Elephas maximus indicus: one gene and its partners. The protein of the gene in region 2 interacts with the protein of the main gene of each other region in a pairwise test. Links are inferred from orthologs where the notes say so. Each region holds a gene or a part of one and is shown on either strand. Other genes may lie near its edges.

What was found.
Region 1: the proteins of ARL15 (region 2) and PDE6D interact in binary tests that used the Homo sapiens proteins (3 or more experiments, as listed by UniProt). The link is inferred for Elephas maximus indicus from reciprocal best matches to the Homo sapiens genes ARL15 and PDE6D.
Region 3: the proteins of ARL15 (region 2) and UNC119 interact in binary tests that used the Homo sapiens proteins (3 or more experiments, as listed by UniProt). The link is inferred for Elephas maximus indicus from reciprocal best matches to the Homo sapiens genes ARL15 and UNC119.

What each region holds. Positions count from the first base shown.
Region 1 is NC_064824.1:134,083,323-134,093,534, reverse strand, and holds the start of PDE6D (retinal rod rhodopsin-sensitive cGMP 3',5'-cyclic phosphodiesterase subunit delta), read left to right. Parts: upstream 1-5,422; 5' UTR 5,423-5,612; coding exon 5,613-5,662; intron 5,663-10,212. UniProt on the Homo sapiens protein: Promotes the release of prenylated target proteins from cellular membranes. Modulates the activity of prenylated or palmitoylated Ras family members by regulating their subcellular location.
Region 2 is NC_064820.1:57,615,006-57,625,553, reverse strand, and holds the start of ARL15 (ADP-ribosylation factor-like protein 15), read left to right. Parts: upstream 1-5,389; 5' UTR 5,390-5,500; coding exon 5,501-5,548; intron 5,549-10,548.
Region 3 is NC_064837.1:23,332,759-23,343,684, forward strand, and holds the start of UNC119 (protein unc-119 homolog A), read left to right. Parts: upstream 1-6,106; 5' UTR 6,107-6,194; coding exon 6,195-6,420; intron 6,421-9,994; coding exon 9,995-10,108; intron 10,109-10,615; coding exon 10,616-10,718; intron 10,719-10,875; coding exon 10,876-10,926. Other genes in the region: PIGS (GPI transamidase component PIG-S), read left to right, coding at 605-719, 1,817-1,962, 2,710-2,810, 3,620-3,830, 4,178-4,453. UniProt on the Homo sapiens protein: Involved in synaptic functions in photoreceptor cells, the signal transduction in immune cells as a Src family kinase activator, endosome recycling, the uptake of bacteria and endocytosis, protein trafficking in sensory neurons and as lipid-binding chaperone with specificity for a diverse subset of myristoylated proteins.

The DNA of each region.
Region 1 (10,212 bases), on a different chromosome or scaffold from region 2:
AGTCTCCTAGTTCCAGGAACTTCTCAGTGCAGGAATTCCAGGTTCAAAGGACATACTCCGCTCTTGACTGTTCTTCACTGGTGGTGGTGGGGTCCTCTCCTTCCTGCTTCTGGGATGGCTCATTTCAAGCCCAGTGGGATGGCAAAACTGACCGATCCCCTTGGTGGGCCACAATTACCCTACTTCCACAATCCCACCCAATCACTTAGGTGGGAGTTACCAGACCATGGCGAAAAAGGCCACACAAAAGAGATCCATCACACCACAGTACCCAATTTGCCAGTAGCAGAGACCAACACTGAGTCTTCGGTGCGGCATCATTCCTCCTGGTGATCTGGGGGCAGGTTGATTACATTGGGCCGCTTCCATCATGGAAAGGGCAGCGCTTCGTTCTTATTGGAATAGACACTTACTCTGGATATGAATTTGCCTTCCCTGCATGTAAAGCTTCTGCCAAAACTACCACCAGTGACTTACAGAAAACTTATCCACTATCATGGTACCCCACAAAACATCGCCTTGGATCAAAGGACTCACTTCACAGCTAATGAAGTGTTGCAGTGGGCCCATGCTCATGGAATTCACTGGTCTTATAATGTTCCCCCATCATCCTGAAGCAGCTGGTTTGATAGAATGGTTGAATGGCCTTCTAAACACACAATTACGGTGCCAGCTAGGTGGCAATACCTTGCAGGGTTGGGACAATGTTCTCCAGGAAGCTGTACATGCTCTAAACTAGCATCCCATATATGCTGCTGTTTCTCCCATAGCCTGGATTCATTGACCTAGGAATCATACACTCAGATTCTAGATGTCTTAGAAAATATTGCTGAAGACCAGACACAAAAAGGAGGTACCAAAAGAGAAACTGAAAACATCGCCAATAAAATGCAAATGCTAGAGTATGTATTTATGTTGGTTATGTGGACTAATATATTGCATCATTTTCATTGGACAAGTCAAGCTCTCCAAGATTTAGAAGTAAATTTGAAGACATGCACAGCTCTCTACCAGTCATTAACAGGGAATTTACGTAATTTAAGAGAAAATTTTGACAACACAACAAAACAAATCCTACTGAATATTGATTATCAAGCAGTTCACTGTTGCAGAAGCATTAGCAAGAAACAAATAAATGATGGAAGTGTTCCAAAATATTGTTGAGTGCCAGAGATCAATTTCATGTGACCACACACTACACCATCATTGACAAACTTGAATCTTGCAAGAAAAGAAGGGTGAAAGTATAGGAAGTTCTTTCAAATAGATTTTTCTTCTTAAACAACATGGATATACCTGAGGAAGAATGCATGGAGGCATCCAAGAAATTAATGCAGGCTTATCCCAATGACTAAAATACAAACCTTTACAGAGAAGCATGACAATCTCATTCTTACATGAGAACTAAGTTTACAGATTCGGGAAAGACAAATTTTACTCACGTAGGCATGTATGATTCCATAATAGAAGATAAAATACAATGCATATTTGCCAATGTTGAAAATTCTTTACACATATTCCTAACTTTAATGATCCCAAACTGTACAACAGAATGCTCATTTTCATCCTTAAAGAGACTCAAAACCCCTCAGCATACAACAATGGTTCAAGAAAGGCACGATTCATTATTCTTATTATGTATGGAAGTAGATATTGTTCAGCAGCTTAATTGTGATGAAATCATTGAAGAATCTGTAAGAGCAAAGAATAGAAATGTTTCTAATTATAACATTTTAGAGGTGAAATATCTATCTAAAAATAAAATAATTTGTTGTAATATGTTTTCTGATCGTTAAATTTTCTTTTATGACATCTTTTCATTTGTTCATTTATAATTATACCATTTATAACAAAACAAGCATCAGAATTGAAGTATGAGGCATTTAAAGCAAAATTAATAAGTCAATTTTTCATTGTGGGAGATCAACAGAATTTTACATTGATTGTTGAAACAACTAAGCTCACTGACTTATTTTCTTTGTTGTAAAGTACGTGGCATATTCTTTTTGTAGAAAATGTGGTATATAGTATAAATCTTAGTTCCCCACAACCACTCAATATTTTATAATCCAGCTCATCTCATTCCATTAAAGTGGCATACGCCACTTCTGCACTCCATATTATAGTCGCATTTAAAAAGAAATTACATCATGGATAGCTAAGACACACACACAGATATTGTTATTTTTAAGTGCCGTCTAGTCGGTTCCAACTCACAGCAACTGTCATGGATTGAATTGTGTCCCCAAAAAATGTATATTAACTTGGTTATGCCATGATTCCCAGTATTGTGTGGTTGTCCTCCATTTTGTGATTGATATAATTTTCCTATACGTTGTAAATCCTAATCTCTGCCTGGGGTTAATGAAGCATGATTAGATTACGTTAAAAAGGATTAGGATAGGGTGTAATACCCTTACCCAGGTCACATTCCTGATCCATGTAAAGGGAGTTCCCCTGGGGTGTGATCTGCACCACATTGTATCTCTCAAGAGATAAACGGAAAGGAAATTGAGCAGAGAATGGGGGACCTCATACCACCAAGAAAGCAGCACCAGGATCAGAACGTGGCCTTTGGACCCAGGGTTCCTGCATGGAGAAGCTCCTAGTCCAGGGGAAGATTGATGAGAAGGGCCTTCCTCCAGAGCCGACAGGGAGAGAGGCTTCCCCTGGAACCGATGCCCTGAATTTGGACAGGTAGCCTACTAAAAAAAAAAAAAATTTTTTTTTTTTTTTTACTAGACTGTGAGAAAATAAATTTCTCTTTGTTAAAGCCATCCACTTGTGGTGTTTCTGTTACAACCAGTACTCGATAACCAAGACAGCAACCCTATGTACAACAGAACAAAACACTCCCCAGTCCTGCACCATCCTCACAATCTTTATGCTTGAGCCCAATGTTGCAGCCACTGTGTCAGTCCATCTCGTTGAAGGTCTTCCTCTTTTTCACTGACGTGCTATTCTACCAAGCATGATGTCCTTCTCCAGTGACTGGTCCCTCCTGATAATACTCCCAAAGTATGTGAGACAAAGTCTCGCCATCCTTGCTTCTAGTGAGCATCATGACTATACTACTTCCAAGACAAATTTGTCCTTCTGGCAGTACATGGTATATTCAATATTTCTTTACTAACACCATAATTCAAAGGCATCAATTCTTCTTTGGTCTTCCTTATTCACTGACCAGATTTCACATGCATATGAGATGATTGAAAACACCATGGTGTGGTTCAGGTGCACCTTAGTCCTTAAAGTGACATCTTTGCTTTTTAACACTTTGAAGAGATCTTTTGCAGATCTGCCCAATGTAAAGCGTCTTTTGATTTCCTGACTGCTGCTTCCATGGGTGTTGACTGTGGATCCAAGTAAAATGAAATCCTTGACAACTTCAATCTTTTCCCTGTTTATTGTGATGTTGCTTATTGGTCCAGCTGTGAGGATTTTTGCTTTCTTTGAGGTGTAGTCCATACTGAAGGCTGTAATCTTTGATCTTCATCAGTAAGTGCTTCAAGTCTTCTTCACTTTTAGCAAGCAAGGTTGTGTCATCTGCATATCTCAGGTTGTTAAAGAATCTTCCTCCAATCCTGATTCCCTGCTCTCCTTCATATAGTTCAGCTTCTTGGATTATTTGCTCAGCATACAGATTGAATAAGCATGGTGAAAGGATATAACCCTGATGCACACTTTTTCTGGCTTTAAACCATGCAGTATCACCTTGTTTGGTTCAAACAACTGCCTCTTGGTCTAAGTACAGGTTGCTCACGAGCACAATTAAGTGTTCTGGAATTCTCATTCTTCACAATATTATCCATAATTTGTTATGATCCACACAGTCAAATGCCTTTGCATAGTCAATAAAACACAGGTAAACATCTTTCTGGTATTCTCTGCTTTCAGCCAAGATACACCTGACATCAGCAATGATATCCCTTGTTTTACACCCTCTTCTGAATCCGGCTTGAATTTCCGACAGTTCCCTGTCCATGTATTGCTGCAACCGCTTTTGAATGATCTTCAGCAAAATTTTACTTTAGTGTGATATTAATGATATTGTTTGATAATTTCCACATTCTGTTTGATTACCTTTCTTTGGAATGGGTACAAATATGGATCTCCTCCAGTTGGTTGGCCCAATAGCTGTCAAACAAATTTCTTGGCATAGACGAATTAGCACTTCCAGCGCTGCGTCCGTGTCTTGAAACATCTCAATTCGTATTCCATCAATTCCGGGAGTCTTGTTTTTCGCCAATGCTTTCAGTGCAGCTTGGACATATATATATACCCATTGCCCTCAAATGGATTCTGACTTATAGCGACTCTGCAGGACAAAGTAGATCTGCAGAGTATCACATCTTTCTCCTGAGGAGCGGCTGGTGAGTTCAAATCACCAAACTTTTGATTAACAGCCCAGCGCTTTAATCACTGTGCCTCCAGGGCTCTATCATATATAGATATAAATCACATATCCCGATAGAATGTGTGAGTAAACAGAGGAAGGTGCACCACAGATTGTCAGCATTCAGGGCCCTCATATGCCTTAACGCGGCCCTGGACTCAGGGCCAATCTAACTCTGTCCCAGCTTGCTATGACCTCTGGCCATTGTCTTCACCTCTCTGGGCCTCAGTTTCCTCACATGTAAAACAACAGGGGTTAGATTAGCAAATTCTCTAAAGTCACTAACTGTATCGATATTCTGAGTTTACAATCCATATATTTCCCAGGCCAGTGCATGAACACACCAGAATCCCCTGCAAACCACGTAAAAGGCGCCCCAGACCAACATACAAGCACAATTTGAAGGAGTCATTTCGTTAGTCTCATGGTTAAATCAGTGTTTTTGTTTGTTGTTTGCAGCCTTACCGTGATTTGCAGGAGAATGCTGAGTTTCATGTAAAGAGAAGTTAGTTCTTTGTGGGCTGTCATTTTCATTTCAAGGGGAAGAGGGTCTTCCTGCCCGGTCTACAGTCTCCGATTCCGAAACCAGAGAGTCCTGACGGCGAATTTATGAATTTGCAAACCCTAAGAGGGACATACAGACGAACGGGGTGCAGGGAATGCTGGGATCTGTAGTCCCTGGGCCTCTTTGTTGCGTGCCGGGATCTGTGGTTCCCGGCAGTGCCCCTGGAATGCTGGGAAATGTAGTCTCAGCCGCATCGCTTAGTGCAACCTGCCTTCATCTCAAAGCCCTGCTGTACCCAGCGGCAAGAGCAGGCCCCTGGAGTCTCTGAAGCCAACATTCCCCTGGGACAAACTCCAGGCAACAACTCCAAGTGAAATATTTGTCCTAAGGGACGTCCCCGGGAGGGCTCTTCCCACTGGCGCTCCCCATCCCCCTGCGAAGCCGCTGGATGTCATTATTGGTTGATCAGGATGCCAATCGCCGAGGCGGGCTTTCCATTGGCGGAGGGGCGGGCGCTCGGAGGCTACGGGGAAGAAGAAGGGATAAGGAGCGGGAGCTGAGGGGAGAGAGAGGCCGGTCCGGATCTGGCCGCTGCCGCTGCTCGCCCGAGGTCTCCAGGCCGGGCTGCGGCTCCGTCCTCGGCTCCTCGGCATCATCTCCGAGGCTCCGCCGGGCCAGCGTGTGAGAGCCGCGGGCGGCGGCCGCCGCATCATGTCAACCGAGGACGAGCGGGCCAGGGAGATCCTGAGGGGCTTCAAACTGTATCCGCCCGGGAGCGGGGCGGGGCGGGGCCGGGAGGACTGGGAGGCGGCCGCCCCCTGAGGAGACCAGCCGCGCGGGGGCCGCGCCGGGTGGGCACCTGAGGAGAAGGGCGCGGGAGGGGCGAGCACAGGACCGGCGTCCCGGACCCCGGCGGGGACCGGCGCTGGAGGCGGGCCGAGGGGCGTCCTGAGGGAAGAAGGGGACGTTGACGGGAGCCCGGGGGTGGAGGCGCGGGAGCCCCGGGAATTGGGCCGGGGGAGGCTCCGGGCGTCGGAAACGGGTTTCGGGAAGGCCCGCTGGGTTCTGAGCTCCAGCCGGGACCCCGAAGTCGGACAGGGGCCGCGACCCGCAGCGGGTGGGGGCGCGGTGGGCCCCCTCGAAGCCCAGGAGTCTCGTTGGCGGGAAGCCCACGGGGGGACGCGGAAGGTGACTTGGAGCGAGTGCCCTGGTGTGGGACAAATGCGAAGGCTTGTGTTCCACTCTCCGAGCCCCCTGCCCTTCCCCGCCCCCGCCTTGTTTCCACAACTTCTCTTCCTCACTTGTGGCTTCTCCCAGGGCCGGAGGAGAGGAAGGTGGGGCAGGAGAAGTCCTACATCGACCTCATCTAACTCTGTCTTGGCCTTTTGAGGCGCTGGATGGCCACTGCTTCTCCCCTCAACTCTTCCGTTTTCTTTCCAGAAAAAATGAGGACCCTAAACTGTGTGTGAGATAACTGGATGTGCTTTGGGGTTTGCCCTGGGACTCCTAGCAAAGGTATCTTGGCTTGCTCCTGTGTTTCCGAAATGCGTAGGCATGGTGGAGCTGTCCAGCAATGAATTGATGACTTTGGGGATACCGTAGGCTATAGTAGGGTATAGAAATCATTGCCACAGGCCAGTTGTGACACCCCTTTCGTCACCTTCTCTCTTTCGTGCAGTAAAGAAGCTTTGTGTTTTCATGGAGTATTAATCTGTAACTATATGATGCGGATGAAAAAAATGCATTCTTGTATGTGGCAATTTTACGTTTTCCTGCTGACCTTAAAGTGTCCTTACATCTAATCCATACAATGTGAAATAGTGTAAAATTTCTCTCTCATTGAAAAATGTAGTCATCACTTCAGGGCTCCCCCCACCTGGGAGGTTTAATGGAGCACTGGTCTCTGAGCTGCCTGGTGTGTTTTCTCAATGCCCATTTCACCCCTGCAAATTTGAATTGTTTGATCATCATCAGAAGACAAGTTGGTAGTAATTTTTAGGACACAAAATGAGAAAAAGGTACAGGAAGTCTTGGATGTACAAATGACATTTTTTAAATGGAAGTGGACCCAGTATGCTTTTTTTTTTAATTGAATGCTGTATCACTTTTGCGTGCTGCTGTTCATGATAAATTTTTATTACTTTTCCATAGTGATGTTTAGTGACAGCCTTTTCTTATATGCTCCATGTACCTTTCTCTTGTTAATGAAGCCTGTAAGTAGATAAGGATGACTGTAGTGTTAGAAAAGCCCGGACATGAGTTTTGTTTTTCCCTTAAGTAATTTATATTGTTCTTTAACATGTATGTTGTAGACAGTAAGCCAGAGGGTATGGAAAGTTGACAGATCTCAGAAACAATACTTTTGTCTGATTGGAATTAGCTTAATGCTGAAAACAAGAAAGGGTCTTTTTAATGACTTCTGAACAATGTGGAAAGGGAAAGTTTGAGCTTGTCACCTTCAGTGTTGGCCCTTGAACCTGTTGAGAAAGAGACTGAGAGACAAATATGGGAAAATAGTAGAAAGCAGAACCTGTGTCAGCCACTAAAAGAAAAAGTGGATTAACCAATTCAGTGATGACATCAGTGCGTCTAGAAAAAGGCTTTCAGGGAAAGTTTGACCTGTGCTGACAAAATCCTGAAGCTCAAAGGAAACAGCCACATAAAAATGTTAGCATGGGAGTGATGCTTTACTTATCCTTTGGTAGCTTTTATTGGCATCTGAGGATTAAGAGAGAAAAAGAAAGAAGGGGTTTTAGGATTTGGTAGTACCTTCAAGAAAGAATAAAATTAATGTTTTAGTAAGTTTTATTACTACAGTAGAAAAGCTCCATTGTATTCTCCCAGCAACAGTGTTGGTGGTTCTCATTTTCCCATATCTACTCTGTCGGTCTTTATTTTCCCCCAATTCGGACAATAAATGATACCTTGTTTTAGAGTATATTTCACTGGATTTCTAGATCCCTGGGAAAGTAATTTAAGTAAGGTTTAAGAGCCTGAACTACTCTAGAGATACACTGCATTGGAATCTCAGCCCTGCACCCCTGGTTATGTGTCCCTGAGCAACTTTTATAACCTCTGCCTCAATTTCGTCAACTGAAAATGAGGATAAATAATAGTACCCACCTCATAGGGTTGCTATGAACATGAAATGAGTTGGTGTCTAAACCTTTTAGAAAAGTACTTGGTGCGTAGTAGGCAATATGTGCCATTGTTGTTATTATTACTATAAAAGTTGCAAATCTGTTTGATCATTTCTTTTTCTTCTGTTGACTGCTTATTGGTATTGTTTTTGCCCATTTTACTATTGAATTGTTTATTTTTCTTATCGCTTCATAGGTGTTCTTTATACGTTTTAGTATTAATCCTTTGCCTGTTAGGTGGTGGTACAAATATCTTCTCTCAGTGTATTGTTTGTCTCTTTTTTGTTATTGTTGAACAAAATTTTTAAGTTGTTGTCAGATTTATCAATATTTTCCATATGGCTTCTGCATTTTTGTGTCTTGTTTAAGACAACCTTCCTTATCCCAGTATTAATGAAATATGCTCTTATGTTTTCTTCTCTTTTTAATTAGCTCTTTAATCTGTTTGCAATGTCTTTGTATGTGTGGTACATGGTAAAAATCTAACTTTTTCTGCTGTTTAGATAGCCAATTGTCCAATACTGTTTGCTAAGTAATTAGTCCATTGTCTGCCCACAGCTTTGAAATGCCATCTTTATCATATACTAAATTTCCATAAAACCAAAAACCAAACCAAACCCCTTGCCATCCAGTCGATTCTGATTCATAACAACCCTATAGGACAGAGCAGAACTGCCTCATAGAGTTTCCAAGGAACACCTGGTGGATTTGAACTGCTGACCTTTTGGTTAGCAGCCGTAGGCATGGTTTTATTTTTGGATTATTTTTGTTTCATTGATCCATTTGTCTCTTCCTGTGCCCGTACACATTGGCTTAATTATTACAGTTTTATTATATGTTTTAGTATAGTTAACAGTATGAGCAAAGTGTGTGTTTAAAGTCATATTGTAAGGTCTTTATAAGCGTTTATGTCTCTATTATTCACACAGAGCCTTGCCTATATGCCCATAGTAGATACTCAAAAAGTATGAATAACAGTGTCTTAATCAGATATTGTCTTTGTGTCTGAGAGAATTCAGTATAAGCTTTTATACTTGCCTAAGTTATTTCAAAAATACATCATTTTTAAGATTTCTTTCTTATATCGCCTTCACCCCACCCCAGCTTGTACACGTTAAAAGTCCTATATTTCTTTCTTGTTTGTTAAAAGCATAACATTTCCTAAATTGTAAATTAAAGTTATAAATGAAATGTGATTTTCCTGCAAAGGTTTTGGATTTGATTATCTTAAGTAGCTGATATAGAGATTGATGTTTGTATCCTCCTTTCTTCATATCATTACATTCAGCAGTTATCTGTTGGGTGATGATTATGTACAGGACACTGTGTACTTGAAGGATACAAAAGTCATTTGGTCACTGTCCCCTCCTTCTAGTTTAACCATTTTTATGTCATTTTGGGAGGGATATCTTCAAATGCAATGCATTTTTAAAAACAGTGTTTAATATTTCTAATACAAATTCCAGCCACCCAGTAATAACCGTTGTTAACATTTTAATGTCTTAATATAGCTAATATATAATATATTTGCTTTTATAAATATGGAATCATAAATATTATTTTATAACTTGCTTTTTTTACTTAATACATTTGACATGTTCATAATTTTCAGGGATAGTTAGAGTGACGCATTTGTCACAGTCCTCTTATACAGCACTGTGTTGCCTATTTACTATTCAAATTACTTTTTCCTGAACATAAATATATAACTTTTACAAATTAGTATCAAGAAACTGACAGATAGGCTTAAGAAAGAATTATGCTTTTATGGTTTCATTTTCTTTAATTCATCTGGAATTTGTTTTATTTGTATAATATGAAGTAGTGATCTAACTTTTTTTAATAGTTAGCTAATTTTCCCCCATGTCTTTATCTATATTCCAGATATTTATATAATATCCAAAACATAAATCACTTCCTGCAAATCAATAAGATAATGAACTCAAAATGGACAAAAGATACAAACAGTTCACAGAAGAAAAATACAGATGACCAATAAATAAAGGGATGCTCAACCTTACTAAAACAAGTTATTCCTTTTCTCCCAATTAATTGACAAAAATTTAAAAGATTAATAATATACAGTGCAACTTTTGGGAGAAAGGGTCACTCTCACTCTGTGTGTGTGTGTGTGTTTAGCCTTTATGAAGAGTAACTAGTATCTATCAAAA
Region 2 (10,548 bases):
AATTCATTTTCTTACAGTTTAGGAGGCTAGAAGTCTGAATTCAGGGTGCCAGCCCTAGGTAAAGGCTTTCTCTCTCTGTCAGCTCTAGAGGAAAGTCCTTGTCACTTTAGCTCCTGCTTCCTGGTTCCTTGGACACCTCCATGTGTCTTGGAATCTATCTTAAGCCCATCTCTCCTCTGCTCACTTGTTTAGTCTTTCTTATATCTCAGAAGAGACTGACTCAAGGTACACCCTACACTAATCTTGCCTCATTAATACGAGGGTAAGTAAAAAGTATTGTTACTAGCATTCCAGTTCATACATGCATGGGTTTATTCCAAACAAAACATGTTTAAACATGTCTCCGTGATCAGTGGATGGTTGCAGACAAGTTTTCTCAGTAATATACTTGTCTTAGTCTCGTCAGGGTGACTTCAGAAAAAAAAAAAAAGGATACTTTTTGTGTCATGGGAAAAAACGATTTTGAGGTCAAGGCTATTATCAAATTTTTAACAAAACTCAGGTGGACATCTCTTCAAATCATTGAAGCTTTGCAACAAGTTTATGGGTATGCTGGCCCACATTAAAGTTTTTAGATGGATCAAGCATTTTAAGGAAGGTTGGGAAGACCTCAAAGATGAGTCAAGAGAGGGAAGACTGCTCAGAAGTTTATGGCGACTGTTTTTTGGGATTACAAAGGACACAGGACAATCGTAGAGACTTACTATGAAGAAGTTTTAAGAACACTGAAAACTGCATTGGTGAGAAAAAGGCCAGGAAGTTTGCACTGAGGGCTTTTTTTCCATCAGGACAATGCACCGCCTCATTCTTCAAGGGTAGCAAGGACTGTCCTATGAGAATTTCATTGGGAAACCTTACCCTGTCCACCCTACAGCCCTGATCTTGCTCCTTCAGCCTTCTTTTTTGTTTTCAAAACTCAAAGAACATTTAAAAGGAACACGATTTGAGTCCTTTGAGGATGCCAAAACTGCTGTTTTGACATGGTAAATAGTCACATGCAGAATTCTTCCGGGAAGGGTTAGAGAGATGGAAACTTCACCTTCAGAAGTGTATAGACCTAGATGGAGGATATGCTGAGAAACAATAGCTTCACATTTTGATATTTTTGTTCAATAAAGTTTTCTATGATTTTGTAGTAATGCTTTTTGGCTTACCCTCGTATAACAAAGACAACTCATTCTCAAATGGGATTATAACCACAGTCATATTAACAACACATATTTTGGAGGGACATAATTCAATCCATAACAGTGCTCAAAAGAAGTGGAGACCAAAAGTACAATAGAGGGAGATGACACACTTTGGGACGATAATCCTACTCACCTGTCAGAAGAGAAGTAACTGGATTGTATAAAGAGGGTTACAAAGGGTCCTGGGACTGCATTAAAAATTTTTAAGAAATCTAATTCTTTCTAAGATCGAGAGTTTATCCCCACTTTTCTGATTCTTTAGGTATTCATAGTGTGCTTGCCACTTTGGACTTTCAGGGAGGTATGTGCTTTATCTGCATATCATGATAAGATCAGTGTGGTAGCTGAACAACGGCTCCCAAATACGTAGATGGCCCAATCCCTAGGGCATCAAGTGTTGTATGGCGAGGTGACTCTGCAGATGTGATTAAGCTGTGCATCTTGGCATGGGGAAAGAGATGATTTTGGCTTTTCTCTACGGGCCTAAATGTAACAAGTGTCCTTATAAAAGAGAGGCAAAGAAAGACTGGGGGCAGTGATGGTTCAGTGGTACAATTCTTACCTTCCGTGTGGGAGACTCACCTGGCTAATGGACCTCATGTGCAACCACTGCTTTTCTGTCAGTAGAGGCTTAATAATGCAATTGCCCCATGAATTTACACACATTTTCTTTGGCACCAGGCAAGGGCAGGTCGAGGTAAATGAGATCAAGCCTTATTCAAGATGACAGTCCATTACTTGGCATTTAGTAGGTTGAATGAATGTACTCTAACCACCGTACACTCTCTTTTTTTTTAAAGTCTACACTAGAGTGATTACCAGGCTGCTGTAGCTACCAACAGATCAGCTAAGACAGCTGCTTCACACAGCGTGCAGTGTATCATCTGTTCATGCCAACACAATCAAGTTAGCCTCTTTCCTCTGCACAAGGGTAAAAACATTAACAGCCCAGAAGATTAACACCTAACTGGAAAATGTGCTCCATATGCAGTTTTGAAACTACAGATTTTTTACAAGGACACTTCCAAAATGCAATCTATAATTCTTTTAATAGTTACATCAAACACAAAAATTTCCTTGATGTCAGTCATAATGAACATAAAAATGGTATAGAATAAGGGAAAAACAGTGGAGTAGACTCTGGAATTTTCCTTGCACAAACTATTTCATTTCCCTGTTTTGGGCCCATTTATTAATTTCTGAGGCAGAATGAACAATGTGCAGCTTAATGTCATGGATTGAATTATGTCCCCCCAAAAATGTGTGTGTATCAAGTTGGTTAGGGCATGATTTCCAGTATTGTATGGTTGTCCTCCATTTTGTGATTGTAATTTTATTTTGAGAGGATCAGGGTGGGATTGTAACACCACCCTTACTCAAGTCACCTCCCTGATCCAAGGTAAAGGGAGCTTCCCTGGGGTGTGCCTGCACCACCTTTTATTTCTCAAGAGATAAAAGGAGAGGGAAGCAAGCAGAGTTGAGGACATCATACCACCAAGAAAGAAGCACTGGGAGCAGAGTACATTTTTTAGACCCAGGGTTCCTGAGCAGAAAAGCTCCCAGTCCAGGGGAAGATGGATGAGAAAGACCTTCCTCCAGAGCTGACAAAGAAAGCCTTCCCAGGAGCCGTCACCCAGAGTTTGGACTTGTAACCTACCAAAATAAATTTCTCTTTGTTAAAGCCATCCACTTGCGCTATTTCTGTTATGGCAGCACTAGGTGACTAAGACACCTAATGACATTCTGTTTAGAAGGACTGTCTTTCTTTAAGGTCAGTTTTTGAAGCAAAGGCAGAAGCCAGCTTCCCCTGAATGGTTATCTTCCCCTGCATAAACTGACAGGCCTCTCAAAATTCTGACTTGGCAGTAGTCAAGACATCATTCATCACTAAGGCAACAGACCAAAAGGTGTCTCTTTGCTAGCTTGCCCCCTTTATCTTACTAACAATATGTTTTATTCATGGAAAGGAGAAGGAAAAACAATTTCCTTTTCTGTTTGAATTATTTTTTGCTATCAAGTATGAGAGAACAACTTTTGCAATTACAGTAGCTTCAACCAACTGTACTGAAGGCTGTGTTGTTATTAGTTGCAGACGGACTCTGACTCGTGGCGACCCCATGTGTGCAGAGTAGAACTGCTCCGTAGGGTTTTCAAGGCTTTTGCAAGCAGCTCGCCAGGCCTTTCTCCAGAGACACCTCTGGGTAGGTTTGAACTGTCAACCTGTCATACAGCAGTCCAGCTCTTAACCATTTGTACCATCCTGAAGTCTGTGGGTTTATGGAAATCCATGATTTCCAGAATCCAGGTCACAACCTCTTCTAAACCTGCACGTGTTTAACAACAGAATGCCAAGAAAAATCAAAATTTGGTCTCACGGCTTAATGAAAATTAAATCTAGTTAGTGCCTGCATAGGGGGAAAGATCTTTTAGAATTTCTTCAGAAGTATTTTATTTATACACACATCCTTATCTGTAAATTGAATCAACAAAGTAATCTTGATAGGCATAAAGCCACTCTACACCAAGCTCTGTGCTGTGTATATTCAGTCTTCTAGTTCCTTCAAAAATACCCTGGGGGTAGGAATTCTCATTTTTCAGTTGAGGAAAGAGGTTCAGAGAGATTAGATAACATACTCAAAAGTCAGGTGGCTCATCAACCTTGTGCTCTTTCTAAGGGGCTGCACTCTCCCTGGTTTATCTGCATGGTTAGGCAAATTCCACTGCTACTTAAAAGTAGAATGGCTTTGGCAGCCCCAGACAAACCTATTCTCTGGAAATTCATTACCTGGGGATACAAAAAGGGAAGGTGTCAGGAGCCCTGGTAGCACAGTGGTTAAAGTGATCCACCGCTAAGCTAAAGGTCGTTGGTTGGAAACCACCAAGCGCTATGCAGGAGAAAGATATAGCAATCTGCTTCCATAGAGATTTACAGCCTTAGAAGCTCAATGGGGTTACTATGAATTGGAATCCACTGGATGGCTGTGGGTAAAACAACATTTAAACAATCAGGCGATCACTTCAGAAAGGTTTTAGTTGATGTTTCATTCTTGAAACGTTATTGTATGGAAGCTCTAATTATAATACAGATGAGAGCAATCCCCTTCTCCTCCATTCTCCTTAACGCCTTAGGGTCACTGTAATCACCTCACTCTGTTATGTTGCATGTTGTCTGGTATAGTGTAGTTGTTCATATACTGAAGCCCCAGTGTTCTTATTCAGCTTCTTACTTGATTCAGCTCAAAGCATTAGTGAAATCCCAATGCCAGTTTCCCAGTTATTAAAGAAACGCACAAGTCTCAAGTGCATCTCTCCATACATATTTTTTTTACCTTTTAAAATGACATGGGGTCACAAGTGTTACTTTACTCGGATCTTTTCGGAGAGCTTCTTTTTCTATTGCTCCTTTTATTCAGAGGCGTTGTATTTGTGCTCAGTGTAACTGGACTTAAAGCTTGCCAAAAACTGATGAGTTCTTCTTCCCAAGTGTTTGAGAATTACAACTGACAACAGTGAATCCCTAAACTTTTTTTCTTTCACATGGTGGACAGAGTTCTCAGGCAGGCGGCAGTCTGGAGTTCAGATAAGAGGGCGCCTCCTGTGTGTGTCGCGTGTGCACGCCCAGGGACATCAGGCAGCAGTTGTCCGCCTTAGCAGTTTCACAAGACGAAGGTGAGGCGGAGTCTTCCGGGTCCCGAATCCCGTACAGTTTTGCCTGTTCACGAAGTACGCTCTTCCACACTTCTCGTCCCGGCAGTACCCGTTTCGCGACGGCAGAGCCTTTAAGAAAGCGCTGCCAAAAGAGACATTAAGTGTCTGTGGCTACCTCGCCTCCCACATTGCAACGCTTGCTTCCTACTGGGGAGGGCTGGAAGGGACTCCAAGATTCCCTGGTACAGGAGCACAGAGCTCTGCTACGCTTTATCTAACCAGGAGGCTACAGAAGCACACACAACTCCGGCGGTGGCAGCACCTGCCGATTTTCCGCTCTTCCCGACTGGCTCTTCGGCTTGCGCCGCCCTACGCCTGCCCTGCACCCTCCGAACCGAGACAAGCAGCGTCGCCTCTCCCGCGCTTCTCTCCAGCCCCCCGCACTGGCCTGCCTTTTATAGGCCCCGCAGCCAATCAGCACTAGCCTTTCCTTCTTCTCGCGCGACCGGCCAATCGCCGCGCCCCTTGTGTAATCTTCGTCTTCTCGGCTGCTCTCGGCTATTTTCGCTGTTGCTGGCTTTTCAGGGGCTGCTTGCTCGCAGCCAGAGACGCTCCTTTTTTTTTCCGGGTTCGGAGCCGTTCCGGATGCTTTAGACTGCCGGATGTCTGATCTCCGAATAACTGAGGCGTTTCTGTACATGGATTATCTGGTAGGTGCGGGACAGGGGTGGCATGTCGCCTCTCAGCTTCCGACGTGCCCCATGTCCCTCCGCCTGGAGGAGCAGCCTCTTTGCTTTTCTTTCTTTGGGATAGGATGCCTTTGGGGTTCTTTCTCCTGCAGCCAGCTGAAAAGCTGTGCCCGGGACTCGGAGAGGCGGCCGTCGGGGCCGCGGGGCAGCAGCATAGAGGGGATGGTGGGACTGACAGGTAAAGGTGCGGCCGGGGCCAGCCGGGCTGCGGGGCGAGGGTCGCACTGGGGCTGCCGGGGAGATGGGGCCGCGGCGGCGGGGCGTCTGCCCGCGGTCGGTGTCTTTGCTTCACTCTGCTCTCCCCGTAAGGGACTTCTTTCCGGGGAAGCAGGAGTTTTCCGCTTTCCCTCCAGCAGAACTCCAGGTACTATTAAAGAGCTATAACCAGAATGGCTCACTAAGTGCCTGGCAGCCTTGGTCATTTGGTTGTTATTAGATCCCTAAAGCTATGACCTCGGTCGCGGCGGGGTTTTAAAAGAACATTACCATAAAGTAGACGGGAGTAAACTCCATCGCAACCCGGCCAGAACAGGACTGGGCAGGCATTGTCCCACCGTTCGGCTCAGATCGTGGGTGCATGCTGCTTTTACCCCGTGCATGGATTGGGTCCCTAGTGTGCTTTTAGGCCAGGCTTGTACTGAGAAGTTTAGGTGGGAAAAGTGTCAGCGCAGAGCTGAGACTGAACATTATTTTAAAAAATGATTTGTGCGTTTGTGCAATTATGCAAGTACCATGTATTGTTCCAGAAATTATATTTCCCCAGAGCTGCATGTCTGTGGTCAAGGGAATCGGCATTTACATTGGCTGTGTCAAATCCTATGCAATTACTATGTTTACCGTGTGAGCCAGAACCGCTATTGCAAGGCTGAGTTGAAGCAGAGTTAAAAACACTGGCCCTCCTGTCATCTTGTTGGACACATGCACGGGTTTTCTACTGCAGGCTGGCCTGGCAGAGATTTGCCAGTGCCTTCTAGGAATTACACTTTAGGCTGTACTAAGAAAGACTGTGGATGCTTTCCTGATAAAGGAATGTTGGACAATGACTGGCTTTGTAGTGTTGTTAAGTGTACTTGGGCTTATTTTAGTTTACATGAAGAATATGTTTCCCCTAAAGCTGTATGGCTCTCCTGAGGGAGGATCATCACTGCAGTTAAAACTTGACCTTGTAGGTGGAGCGCTCACCAGAGTCAAAAATTCCGAGTTCAAATTCTGTTTTGTTGTTCTTTTGGTGATGGCACTAACTTCGTCTGTTTGTGATAGAGGGACGGTATCCACCCACTACCATTAAGCGTATTATCTGATAAAAAGCATGCTGTAAAATGTAAAGTGCCCTGTAGGTTAAGAGAGTTGCCTAATGTGACTGAAAGATTATTTTCTAAGTTAAATAACTGGTTAATTTGTAGCTTGTCTTGTAAAATACAGCGCTATGCCCAAATTAAAGCCAAAATTATTGAGGATAATTGCCGAGTAGGAAAGAGCAACATTACCCCTACTATTCAAAGCTAATTTTGGATACTTAGTTCCTAAAGAGAAAATCAAGTGGTTCTGATCATTTTATTAATTTCTTTTTGCACTAAGTGTGTTTTAAATGTACAAATTGCATCAAAGCTATCTTTGAGGTGCCAAACCTACCAAAACACTTAGTGAAAACAATATTGAAACACTGGTTAATTATTCAGATTAACCTCTAGATAAACCAAAAACCGCCAAACCCAGTGCCATTGAGTCGATTCCGACTCATAGCGACCCTATGGGACAGAGTAGAACTGCCCCATAGAGTTTCCAAGGAGGGCCTGGTGGATTTGAACTGCCGACCCTTTGGTTAGCAGCCGTAGCACTTAAACACTACGCCACCAGGGTTTAGATGAATGTTTGTGGGGCTCCAGTTTACCCAAAAAGTAGGTTAATTTCTTTGCCAGCTTACTATCAGTTTGGTGTCAAAATAATGGATCCCAAACTTGACATTCTGTCGTGTTTTACCTGTCACGCCCCCCACACTAGGTTAGCTTGTTTTAAAAAATCATTATTTTGTTACCTTAACTTTGCTTTTTTAAAAAAATGACAAGTGTGGTGTAACATTCCCATAAAAAATAACAAAGCAATGTTGTTGTTAGGTGCCATGGACTCATTTCCAGCTCATAGTGACCCCTCATACAACTGATCCTGTGGTCCTGCACCATCCTCACAGTCGTTGTGCTTGAGCCCGTTGTTGCAGCTACTGTGTCAGTCCATCTCATTGAGGGTCTTCCTTTCTTTCACTGATGCTCTACTTTACCAAGCATGATGTCCTTCTCCAGGGACAGATCCTTCCTGACAACGTGTCCAAAGTATGTGAGACGCAGTCTTGCCATCCTTGCTTCTAAAGAGCATCCTTGCTTCTTCCAAGACAGATCAGTGCCTCCTAAAAACATGTCCAAAGTACATGAGAGGTTCTTACTATCCAGACTTCTAAGGAGTGTTCTGGTTATACTTCTTCCAAGACAGATTTGTTCATTCTTCTATAGGCCACAGTATATCTTTGCCAATACCCTAATTCAAATGTGTCAGTTCTTCTTCAACAAAGCATTATTTGGATGATTATTGGAGGTGAGGAAATAAATCATAAAGGAAACAGTTCAGTGTTTGAGTGTGCAAAGTATCTCATATCAAAAGGTTTAAGAAGATCCTTAAGCATTAAGCCCAGTTTTAACTGAGATTGGACTGAAAAAATAAAAAACACACACAAACAAAAACACTCCTCCTGAGGTGATCTTTTTGTATTTACGTTTTGCCTACTAACTTTCAGAGAAAATGATATGCCACAGACCATTGCTTTCTTCTTTCAGATTGACTTGTTTCCTCATGCAGAACCTTTATGATGGTTATGAAAAACCCATTTCTGAAAAATAAAAACTTATTTGACAGTATCTGTGATCTTATTTTAGAGTTAAACTAATTCCCAGGTTCTTTTACTTGTTGTTATTAGGTGCCATCAAGTCAGTCACTCATAGTGACCCTGTGTACAACAGAACTAAATACTGCCTAGACCTGCGCTGTCCTCACAGTCATTGTTATGCTTGAGCCCATTGTTCCAGCCACCGTGTCAGTCCATGCCATTGAGGGTTTTCTTCTTGTTCACTGACCCTTCTACCTTACCAAGCATGATGTCCTTCTCCGGGAACTGGTCCCTTCTGATAACATGTCCAAAGTATGTGAGATGAAGTCTCGCCATCTTTGTTTACAAGGAGGGCTCTGGCTGTACTTCTTTCACTTACTACTTAGAAAAAAGGCTTCTTTTCATTACAAGTTTGATTCTTCAGATTTTGCTGAGTTTGTGGACTAGAGTAAGTGCCCTGTTTATACACTTGACAGGAATAATGGTGTGTGTCTTCTTTTTCTTAAATCCGTGTTTGACTTTCTTGCTGCTGTTGGAAGTTGAAGGAGGGAGCTTTGTGTATGCATTGTCCATTGTTCTTTGGACTGGATATCATCACTTAACCTTTTCATGTGGAGGAGAGCAGAAGGGAAGAAAAGTGAGAGAAAGATGGAGGTGCTATTTTTAACAGCTTTTAATAGGATTGAGATCCTAAAACAGATGAAGAATCTATTTCAGAGGTTGCTATTGATTTCTTAACTTAAAAGAAGTACTCTTCTTTAGAGATGATAGATAAAGTGAGGGACAGTCCCTTAATGTTTAAGACAGGGTTTTTAACTGTTTGGCTACTAACCAACTGGTTGGTGGTTCAGATCTGTCCAGAGACACCTAGGAAGAAAGGCCTGGTGATCTACTTTCAAGGTCACAGCTGTGGAAACCCTGTGGGGCACAGTTTTGCTCTGGAACACATGGGATCGCCATGAGTAGGAATCGACTCTATGGTAACTTTTGTTTTAATGCATTTAGTTCAGGGAAATATGTGGTAACTGGCTAATCCTAAATAATTACATGTATCACCCACCGCCTGCCTAGCATGGTACTGGCGCGTGGTAGGACATTTATTTGTTGAACTGAATGGATATGACATGAAGGGACAATTCTACTTTTTCTCACCAGCTTCTAAACTGAGCCAAGATAAAATCTATTTGGATTAGGCGTTTGGTTTTGTGGAATGCAGAAGGTATTCTTTACTCTTAACTTTGAGATTATCAGATGTGATTTGTTTAGCCTGGGTGGCAATTTAAAAATCAAGATCTCTTTTTGCCAGTTGATAAAGGAATTTTCCTAGGAGAACACACACCGGCCCTTCCTTTTTTTTCTCCATAATGAGGTTTAAAGGCCGTGTTCATACCTGTCAAGCCTGAAAGGAAAGGTTTTGTTGCTGTTCTAACAGGCAGTACCAGCATCTTGCTCCATTTCTCTTCTGACAGGTAGAATTAGTAAGATGATGTGCAGAGCTTTTTGAATAAGGTAGGAGAACATAGTCCAGTTATAATGAAAGAGAAAAACATGTTTAACCAGGTTTTCCTGGGAGGTTGGACAAGATCAGCAACGAGGTTCCTTTCAGTTCATAAGTTTCTTTTTATTCTTGACTTACGGTTGGTTTGCTCTGGATTTCACCTTTTTCCCCCTTCTGCCATCAAAAAAACAGCAATAAGATTTGGTATATTTCCGTATAATGCCTATGATGATTAAATGAGAAAGTGATTTATAGACAACACATTGCTTTTGAAATATAAAATGTTCATGTATTGTGATTTTATTGCTGGTATTTGATGTTATTCTTATGCCTCCCATGGAATGACTACTGCCACTCAGTGGTAAGTATTAGGCTACCTTTTAAACTATTCTCTCAAAATATGGAAAGATTGGGGTTTGGTCATCAACAAGCAGGAAATCATAAGACTCTCATGAGGATTGTTTAGTACCTATAAAAATAAGTCTTCATTCTGTTATTTTCATTAATCCACTGAACAAATATTTATTGAACCCCTGCTTTGTGCATGACCCTAAAAGTCATGGGTGATGAACCCCTACCTATGACGTC
Region 3 (10,926 bases), on a different chromosome or scaffold from region 2:
TAGTGTCTTTACTTTCCCTTCTTGATGCCCAACTTGCGGGAGTCCCGTGAGTGCTTGTTAACTAGCCAGCTTCCGGATGGCTCTCTCTAGAACTCTTTTTGCCACTTGTGTCTTGGTGTTATGCCATCAGCCATCCTTCAGGAATGTTATTTTTAAAAAAACTTCCTGAAATATGTTAATGAAGCTACAATAAAGATACTGCAAAGAATGTTGCTGTTTATATCATACAGTGTCCTTTTAGTGAAAACCTGTGGGAGAAATTTTTATCAGGTCTTGGTAGTGGGAGACCTGAATAACTGGCTTGATTTTATCTTATGAACATTGGGATATGTTGCTCTTTGTTTCCCTCTTTGATTAGGCTGGTAGGAAGCTTGGTGAAATACTTGGTTTTCAAAGGGTATATCTAGTGTATATTAACTTTACCCGTGGCTTCATTGTTTGTTTTCCCTACAGTTATTTTCTCTCAGCCCTATGATTGTTTTTTATATTATGCCTGGTACTAATTTTATCTTTTTAAGCCACCTCAAATCTTTTTTTTTGGGAGGGACAAAGTAGAATATAATTCAATAAACAAAATAATCCCCCCCCCCCATTTGCTCCACAGATCCTTTACTATGCAGTGTTGGGAGTCAACCCCCGCTTTGACCCAGCTTCCTCCAGTTACTACCTGGCTGCTCACAGCCTCCCCCATGTCATCAATCCTGTGGAGTCGAGGCTGGGTGAGCTGATTTGAGGGCTCTTCTGCCAGGCCAGGGAGGGACTCAGGGCCTAGCCTGGGGTTGGAAGAGGGTTGTATATAGTGATGGTTTCCAGGCTGGGTTGCTCTGAGGGGTGGGGAAGTGCTGGGATTAAGGCCCCTTTTTCGTAATGCTCTGTTGATATCTCCATCCCTCATATCCAGAAGCATTTATTAAACATGATTCCCAGCACTTTTTGTAGATAGATATGCTGGGTCTCCATCCCTGAAAGCCATCTAGGAAAGACGGGCTAATGGGTAGGAAAGATGAGCTAATGGGTAGGAAAGACAGACAACAGCAAAAGTACATGGAGACTGAATTTGAATTGACGGCTCTGCTGATTGAGGTTGAGGAACCTTGAAGCCAGGATTACAGTTTTTCATTTTTGGGGTAGAGCCTAGGAAGGGTAGGTGTGACCAAGAATTGTCATGCAGGCAAACCAAAGTGGGTATATCACTGATTGTGGAATTTCTGGCACCAGAGGCAGGCCATTGTGGACCAGGGGTATGTGAGGGGCAGCACTTAGCAAGTTCCTTCTCCATAGAAGGATGTTGCAGGTCAAGGGAGCTATGAGCTTAGATGCAGACGAGTCAGACAGCATAGGCATTCAGTGAGCACAGAGTAGTTTAGCGTGGCTGAAATGATGATGCTGGCAAGGCAAGCAGCAAATACCAGACTGTTCAATAAGGACCACATTATGGAGTTTGATATTAATGGGTAGACTTTAAAAAAAATTAAGCAGAGAACTGACTTGAGATCAGATTCATACCTGTGCTTAAAACTAGGTATAATAATGTGGGTACAGTGTGGCAGTGGCCAAGAGAGCAAAGGGGGTCTCTTAAAGAAGATTCCAGGGGCATTTTGGGACTTAGGACCACACTCCATCCATCTGGCACATCTTGGGAAAATACTGAGAGGTCCTACACCACAGAAACCCAAGACTGGAGGATATCCCAGAGAGTATTAGTTGGGGAAACTGAGGCCCAGGGTGGGTGACCAGTGAGTTAGAGGCTGGCTTGGAGCTAAGATCTTGGTCTGGTGTGTTTGGTGTTCGATCTGCTCTTCTCTCTGTCCCACAGGGTCCAGCGCTGCTTCCCTCTACCCTGTGCTCAACTTTCTACTGTACGTGCCTGAGCTTGCCCACTCCCCGCTCTACATTCAGGACAAGGATGGGACTCCAGTCGCCACCAACGCCTTCCACAGTCCCCGCTGGGGAGGCATTATGGTAACAATCACACTGCAGACCCCAGTGCCCAAGCTTCAGGGATAGACAGATGATCCCTGAGACCGTTCTTTCTGTTGCCTCAGGTGTCCTCTGTGGCCTAGTCTGCGGGAGAGGCAGGCACCAAGGAGGCAAGGGTGCTGTGTGCTCCTGTCCTCCCTCTGCCAGCACCACTCTCTTGTGTTTGCCAGTGCTGATTGATGGCCAATATGACCCTTTTGCACTTGGCAGTTTGCACTTATTTAGGACTATTCTGTGAACATCTTAGGTCCTGGCCCTATTTGTGGGAGTCTTGCAAGGTTAGGAGCTTTGCCTCCCTTTTAGCCTGGGAGTTTCTCATAGCTTAGAACTATAAAATAAGATTTAAAAAATGTATTTGACAGGACGTTTGAGGGAATAATTGAGGTACTTTATGTAAATTCCTAATAGTAGTTGTTGTATGCTGTCAAGTTGATTCTGACTCATAGCGACCCTATAGAACAGAGTAGAACTGTCCCATGAGGTTTCCTAGGCTATAAATCTTTATGGGAGCAGATTGCCAGGTTTTTCTCCCTCGAAGCTGCCAGTGGGATGCCATTTTTGCTTAGCAACCAAGCACTTACTCAAAAAGTATTAGCTATGCCATCAGTTTTATAGCTTCCAAAGAACAGAGACTGTGTTTTCATTTTCTCTCATGACCTCCAGAGTGCCTAGGGAAGAGCTGTGCATAGTCCTGATGTAGTGTTATGGTGATCTCCTTCCCCCTTTCAGGTATACAACGTTGACCCCACAGCCTACAATGCCTCGGGGCTGCCGGTGAAAGTCGAGGTGGACATGGTACAAGTGATGGAGGTGTTCCTGGCTCAGCTGCGGTGAGGCCCTGGGTGTTCCATTCGGAGGGCATGGCCACTGAGAGACTGACCACAGTCTCCTTGGCTCTAGAGGGGGATTGCAATCAGAATGAAATCTCCCTTGCCAGGGATACCTGGGCTATGCCTAGAGCCACCAGGAAGCCAAGAAAGCTTTCCAAGAATTGCTTCATCCTTTTTCTAAGTAGGTCTGGTTGCTTGCAAAACCCAATTTAAGAAAGGTAGACATGAATGTCAGGTCCATGAGGCATGATTAGTTGTGCTTAAGAAAACAGCTATTAATTCATTGTACTAATTGATTGATTATGAGAGTGGCTGCCTGAAGTCCTGTGTGTCTGGCCGCATCAGAAAAAGAGTATTCTTCTGATTGATTAGCAATGTCTGGCATGGGTATAGGACGAGAGGCATAGCACACATACCTTTTTGTTAAAGATGGTCCTGGATCATCCCTTAACTCTTAAGTCCCAGTGGCCCCATTTGTCCAAAGAGAGGGTAAGGAAGGGTGAGGGGGTTAAACTCAGTTGGTGTTATCAGAAGTTTTTTAGCCCTGGAAGCTTTCTTCAAACAAGGTCTTGGATGGCCAATATAGAAACAGGTGAAAGTGGAAACACTCTGGGGAAAGCAGGGTTTGGGGCTCTGGATTGCTTGGTGGTGTTGCTCACTCTTCAAGACTCTGAGACACTTCCCCACAACCCCTATGGTTCAGGGTAAGATTGAAGTCATTGACTTAGGGCAGATAATCCAGGAATCTTAGCCATCTTCTCCCACCTTCTGGTCTCAGCCACCTTGATCTTACTTGGCTGTTCCTACAGACTGCTCTTTGGGATTGCTCAGCCCCACCTGCCTCCCAAATGCCTGTTTTCGGGGCCTAAGAGTGAAGGGCTAATGAGCTGGGAGCTGGACCGGCTGCTCTGGGCTCGGTCAGTGGAGAACCTGGCCACGGCTATGACCACCCTCACGTCCCTGGCCCAGCTTCTGGGCAAGATCAGCAACATTGTCATCAAGGATGATGTGGCATCTGAGGTACGTGGGCAGGGACGGATTCTGTGGCCTAGAACTGGAGAGGTCAGTGAGGGCCAAAGTATATGGTGCAACCGGAGAGAGCCATCTGAGGTCCAGGGTGTGTGTGAGCATGCCATCCTTGAGTGCCCCAGGCTTCCTCTAGAGGGCAGTGCCAGCCTCAGGAGTCCAAATGGGAATGAGAGGTTTCAAGCAGACCCTAAGAAATACACACATAGCCCTTTTATACTGACCTCCATTTATCCTGGGTGAACTCCAGGCAAACTCCCTGGTAGGCCAAAGGCAGGTTAAAGGCCAGCCCCTTCCCCACCATGCCTAGGACTTATTTTAACCCTCTCTCTCCTTCCTAGGTTTACAGGGCAGTAGCTGCAGTCCAGAAGGCAGCAGAGGAGTTGGCCACTGGACACCTGGCCTCTGCCTTCCTTGCCAGCCAGGAAGCTGTGACGTCCTCAGAACGTGCCTTTTTTGACCCCTCACTCCTCCACCTCCTGTATTTTCCTGATGACCAGAAGTTTGCCATCTACATCCCACTCTTCCTGCCTATGGCCGTGCCCATCCTCCTATCCCTGTTCAAGATCTTTCTGGAGACCCGCAAGTCCTGGAAGAAGCCTGAGAAGATAGACTGAGCAGGGCAGAATCTCAGTAGGAGCCCTTCTTTTCAGGCCAGGATGGGAGGTGTTAGATTGAGAGGCACATAAATCGGGCCTGCTGCGAATGACCTGTTTCCAGCCTCTGTTGCCTTTCCAGCAACCGAAGTGCAATACTCCAAGATGGATTCATCTTCCCTTTCCATTCCCCGGGCTCAGGTCTCCCTGCCTCCCCACTCCTCATACTCTCCGGAGTGTCATAGTAGCATCACCTCGGTCTCCTTATCTGACCTGAACTTGAAGATACCTGACTACCTCCAGCTGGGGCAAGGACAGCTTGTACTTCTACCCTGTTTCTCAACATAGCACACTCCTCTTGTTACCGAGAAGGCAGCATGAGGGAAAGCCCTGGTTGGATCCTTCCACCCTGCACAGTTTTCTCTAACCCCTCAGGGAGAGCCCCAGCACTGCTTTGCTGGAAGGGGCCCAGGCACAGGTCACTCGGGGGCTCCTCCCTTACGCCTCTCCTTCCTGGCTTGCTGCGCCTGTTGGGTACAGCCAGACAGACAGGAGTCCAGAAGGCAGCAGCTCAGGACTTGGTGCTGTGTGTGGCAGAGGCTTGGGCGGTATGGTACAGTGGAGAAAGTTCCAGAGTTGAAATCAAAAAGGCCTGAATTCCTTGCTTCTGCATTTATCATCTAGTGAGCTCCCTCATTTGTTAAAATGGCACTAATGACACCTCCCTTAACAAGGTTGTTGTGCAGATTAGATGTGATAAATCATGTGAAAGTGTCTGGCATCTACTAGGCTCTCAATAAACATTGGTTGAATATGAATTGAAATGATATGAAGTATGGCTATACTTTTAATTCTTCATTTACGTGTAAGTAATCGTTTTCTGGCATCTATCTTCCTGGGCTCACAGGTCCACCTTGCCTCTATCTGGCCATGTGCCCTTCCTGCCCCTCTGTCTTGTAGGGCTCTGGTGGCCCGACACCTGGGCCGTTGTCCGTCTGGGTGTCCTGGGTTGCCCAACAAGGCTGTTAGCAGCTACGTCTGCTTTTTAGCAGGGAACTGAGAGAATAGCTTATACCAGTGAAAGCCCTCAGGTACTAGCTCATTCAACAAAGGAAAAGTTATTGAGCACAGGCCTCAGTGGGCTTCTGCTAGGTGCTGGGGCCATAATAGGGAACAAAACAGTCCGCTTTGGCTTAGCTGGTCTTTGAGGGGGAAGAGACTGAGCAAATAAAAATAGTTTCAGTTATGTATTAGAAAAAAATGAACTAATTGGTTAATGATTGGGGGCGAGGGGGGTGTACTTTAGTTTGGATGTGAGGTATGGCCTTTGACATTTAAGGTGAGACCAAAAGGACAAGAAGAGGTCATATAGGGGGAGAACACCCTGGGCAAAGACTCCAAGGCTGGAGTTCGCTTGAGGACTGTAAGGGCAGTGAGAAGGGCACAGGGACTGGAGCGCAGCGTGGAAGGAGAGGTAGGCAGTACCTCCCTGAATTACCTTCCAGAAAATGAATGAAGCCCAGGGCCAGCCCTCACCCTAGCGGGGATGAGAGCCCTGGTGGGCGGTCCCCAGACTCCCGACCCCGGTGGGCCCTGCGCGTGGGCGGAGTCAGTGCCGGACCCAGCCCAGAGGAAGGGCCGGGGGGCCGGGGCGGAGCGGTACCTGGGGCCCCGGCCGGGGCGGGGCTGCGGCCGCTCACCCTTCTCCCGGCTCCAGCTGGCTCAGGCAGCGGCGGCGGCGGCGGCGGCAGCAGGCGAGGCCATGAAGGTGAAGAAGGGCGGCGACGGGGCCGGGACGGGGGCGGAGCCCGCTCTAGGGGCCTCAGGCCCGAGCGTGGAGCCCAAACCTGAGCCGAAGTCGCAAGCGGAATCCGAATCCGGGTCCGAGTCGGAGCCGGAGGCAGACCCGGGGCCCAGGCCGGGGCCACTGCGGAGGAAGCAGCCGATCGGGCCGGAGGACGTGCTGGGACTACAGCGGATCACGGGCGGTGAGCACCGGCGAGGAGCGCTGCCCGCCGGCTGCAGGGAGCAAGAGCGAGAAGGGGGACCCTCTCGTTGCGCGGGGCCCGGCCCCCGCCCCCCTTCCCGGCTCTCTCCCCGCATTCCCTCCCCCTTCTTGGCCCCCTCTTCTACGTTTGCTTCCCTCCCTCCTGCGTCCAAGCCTGAGGTCTCCATGGCCCCCCTTTCTTTGATCTCCCTGGGTACCCCTCCTCTCCCTTTTGAGGTATATTATTTTGGGGGACGGGTTCATTCCCTTTCCCATGGTGAAGGTCGGGCAGCAGCTGCAACTATGGCCCCTTCCCCGCGGAGTCCTCAAAGCCCCTTGAGGCCTGGCTCTGCACTGATGAGGAGTGGAGTGAGTGTAGCCTGTCCTCAGCCCCTGCCCCTGGAGGCTAGGTGGAGACTGAGCTGCTTAGGTGGACTCAAGACTACTGAGGTCTTCCTGACCATTAATGCTGTCACCCTGGACCCCCCCCAGGAAGACTGGGGCCATCCCCCACCCCGGAAAAGAAACTGAATGGGAAGCCTCAATGGGTTGGCTCTGGGTCCTGACAGGAGTGGGTTAATGCTGGCGAGCCTGGGCCAGGATCTGTACTCCTTCAGTGCTGCAGGACTCCAATCAATGGAGACCTATTCTCCACTGTGGTTAAGAGTTTCTGAGCCAAACTGGCTGGATTTGAGTCCCAGCTTTGTCACATAGTTGGCTGTGTGACCTTGGACAAGTAACCTCACCTCTCTGAGCATATTTCTTCATCTGTAAGATGGGTTTAATAACATCTACCTCATAGGGTTATTGCGAAGATAAAATTAACCTTCTGACTTTACACAGTGCCTGACACACTGCTTTGTAAATAGGGCTCTTTTGTCAACAGTACTGAGGGTACCACACAGGCTGTTCATGGCTGGAGGCAAACTGGGCATTCAGGCATTCAGGAGGTCACCATGGGCAAGGGACAAGGGCTAGGGGACTTCATGAAGGAGGACGTGGCAGAGTCTGGAAGAACGAGAGGCATTTGGGGAGGCAGTAGCTCTCCACCTTGGCTTCATTCATCAGCTGCCTGCTCTGGCTCCCTCTGCGACAGCAACGGTTGGGGCTCTTTCTATGGGGGTGGGGAACAGGCATGGGGACCTGAGCCCTGGAGCTGCAGAAACAGCAGAGCCTAAGGCTCCCAGACAGAGCTGTGGAGGGGACCATGATGACGGGCCTGGGCCTGTGCAGCTAGGTCTCTGGGGGTCCAGCTCTTCCCTCCTCTCTGAGCCAGGCAGCAGCCATTCTTGGCTGGGCCCCTGGAGGGCTGAGCTCCCTTGCTCAAGCGGGCACTGGTGGAGGGAGGGGGTCTGAACCAGGTTGATGTTGATGCCAATTGGGCTGTAGTTGGCAACAGCAGCATTTAGGGTTCAGCTTATTTCTGGGGCAGAACTTCTTCACAGAATGTCAGGAGCTCATGCTGACCTGTTTGGCCTGCCTGAGTTCTTTGTAACTACAGGGAGCTCCCAATCCACGTCCCATGTACCGTGCGTCTCCTCTTGTGAAGGAAATTCATAGCCCATAGAGACAGGGCATCTGTAAGTAGGGGAAGGGATTCATGGGAGCTCTCCCCTCTGCAGAATTGAAAACAGGGTTCCAGGGCTGTCTGCCCTGGCACTCCCTGCCTGGTCCCTTCTGACCCTAATCACACAGGTCTGAGGCTTGCTGTTCCTGGATTATCGGGCCCTGAATCCAGCTTAGGAAACTATTTGTGGCTGAAGCGAAGAGAGGAGTTGTGCTCTGAGCCCCGCTTCCCTCTTGTTCTAGCCTGACCCTGAGTGCCAGGCCTCATCCTTCCCTGGCAGAAGGGAGGGAGTGGCTGCGCTGTTCTCAGCTATGGGCATCCCCCGCTCCTCACTTCCTGTAAGGATGAAGGGGTTGATAGGTTGAGTTTGCAGTCGGAGAGACTGAGTCAGACTGCAAGAAGTTGTTACAAGTGAGAGGAGAGGCCCCAGAAGCTGGAGAGTGGGGAAGAAGAGAGGGCCTTACCAGGGGCTGGGAGCTGGGTGACTAGGATCCAGTTCTCAGCTTTGCTACCTCCTCTCCCTCTGCCCGGTGCCTTCTTTCTACATCTTTGGGCTAGTGCTTTCTGTGATGACAAGGTGTGCACAGGCTGGGGATAGGGACTGCCCACTGCTATTCCCTTCCTTTCTCCTCCTGGGCTGTGGTGGACAGGCCAGGGCTCAGGCCCCTCCTCAAGCCTTGTGTAGTCCCTGCTGGGCCCCAAGGTGACAGATGGCTGCCAGGAGGGCTTCCTGGAGGGAGCTACCCCAGGCTTGGGGAAGAGGCAGGCTGGGAAAGAGAGAATGACTTTATATTCACTTCCTCTTCCTGCCCCAGAGGAATAGGAGGTGGCCCAGGGGCCTGGGGGGTGATTTCCGGGCCTCTAGGGGAGGATGTGGTGCTGTGCGGGCTGAACTCACTGCGCCCCCCACTGCACCTCTCTGCCTCTCCCTATTTGTTGCCAGGGCCTCTCCAAGCGCTTCCAGTTGCTGCTGCAAGAGCAGTGATGGTCAGGGCAGGACTGGCCTATTCCCAGAATTCTTCAGCAGGGCCCAACCACAGCTCTTGGTTCCCTTTCTGGACCTGAGAACTCCCCTTACCCTCATCCACACTCCTCACCACACCTGCCACGCCCACTTCCTGGCCTAGCTATGGGGTGGGGGAGTACTCTTCTCTACGGGGACTGGCTCAGAGCCAAGGCTGCATAGATGATCTTCAAGGGGGGTTCCCTCTGTTTGATAAGACTTCCTCCTATTTGGAGGTCAACAGAGAATGGGAGCAAAGTTGGCCCCCTTTCCCCCAATATCCCAGGCTCTGGGCCTGAGTCAGCAGAGCTTTGGCTAAGCTGCTTAAGGGAGCTGGGCTTGCATAAGCTGCTTATGGGGAGAGGCGGGGACTGGGGGAGTGAAGAGGACCAGGGAAAGGGTTGTTCATCTGCCCCAGAACCACCCACATCAGGGAAAGTTCCCTCAAGATCAGCCCTTGCCTGACACATCCACATGTAGTGCGAGGGGCAGCCATGAGTGGGGCTGGGGGGTCCTCCAGAGAAGGACTGTCTCTCTCCCAAGGCAGAACTGTGTCACCCCTTCAGAGTGAGGTTCCCAAGGCAGGTCTGTGTCTTCCCATTTGTGCTGGGGGATCCACATCAGATTGAGACCCATTTGGCCCAAAGCCCCCCAGCCAGCCCTGGCAGGGCAGAGGCTGGAGTAAGGATCTTCAACACCAGGATGGGAGGGAAGATGTGGGGAAAGTGGCTGTGTCCTCTACCCATCTCTGCCCGGCCCCTCCCTGACCCCCAAAGGCCACTAGGATGGGACTGTTGGTTCCCCATAAGATCCCAGTGGCAGACTCATATCTCTCCCACACTGAGTCGGGGGTTTCCCCAGGGCAGGGTCTTAATTCCCTCCTGAAAGGCAATACCCCTAGGGGTGAGAGAAAGTGGTAGCTAGTCAGGGGTCCCCCAGAAGCTGAGCTGGCAGGAGGGGCTTCTGGGCAGGCTCCTTCCTTGCTCAGTCGCCTGCCTCCCCTAGACTACCTGTGCTCCCCTGAGGAGAATATCTACAAGATCGACTTCGTCAGGTTCAAGATTCGGGACATGGACTCAGGCACTGTCCTCTTTGAAATCAAGAAGCCCCCAGCCTCAGGTGAATGGGCTGGGTGGGCCATTGGGGTGGGAGGTAGGCAATTGATAGAAGAGGCTGCCCAGGGAAACTTGAGGCCACAGGGCAGTCAGAGCAGAGCAGGGTTTTGTACTCTAGCATTCTTGGGGGTCTCCAGGCAAGGAGACCTCTGCCTGGGGGTGGGTCCCCTTTTTCTTCTCATCTGTCTGAGGTTGGCATCTTCGGAGAACAGCCCTGCCCCTTCAGTCCCTGCTGGCCTGCCCCCTGCAGGCCTCCCTGGGAATGGCAATCCCAGGGGCCTCAGGCTTCTGTTCTCCCTGTGGCCCTGGGAGCCACTGTGGAAACTGGTGACTAGCTGACCTTTCTAGGTGAAAGGGCTGTTCCGCCAGTGGTTCTGAACCCTTGCTATGCATCAGAATCTCCTGGGGAGATTTCAAAAAATATAAACAGATAGCAGCCCTAGGGGGGGACCCCTGGGTGGGCAAGGGCCCCAGCCTGAACCCACTGAGCCCCAGCTGGGGTACATTGCAGAGCGGTTGCCCATCAACCGACGGGACCTGGACCCCAACGCTGGGCGCTTTGTCCGCTACCAGTTCACGCCTGCCTTCCTCCGCCTGAGGCAGGTGGGAGCCACGTGAGTCACTGGGCTGGGGGCCTGGGCTGGGGGCTAGGGTGAGGGTGGGAGCGAGCCCTTCCTGAGTCTTCCTGAGCCTCCCTGAAGGGCCGACTGTCCTGAGCCCCGCTTGCTGACTTCCAGGCCGGGCTCAGCCCTGTCCCCTTGTCTTGCTCAGGGTGGAGTTCACAGTGGGAGACAAGCCCGTCAACAACTTCCGCATGATCGA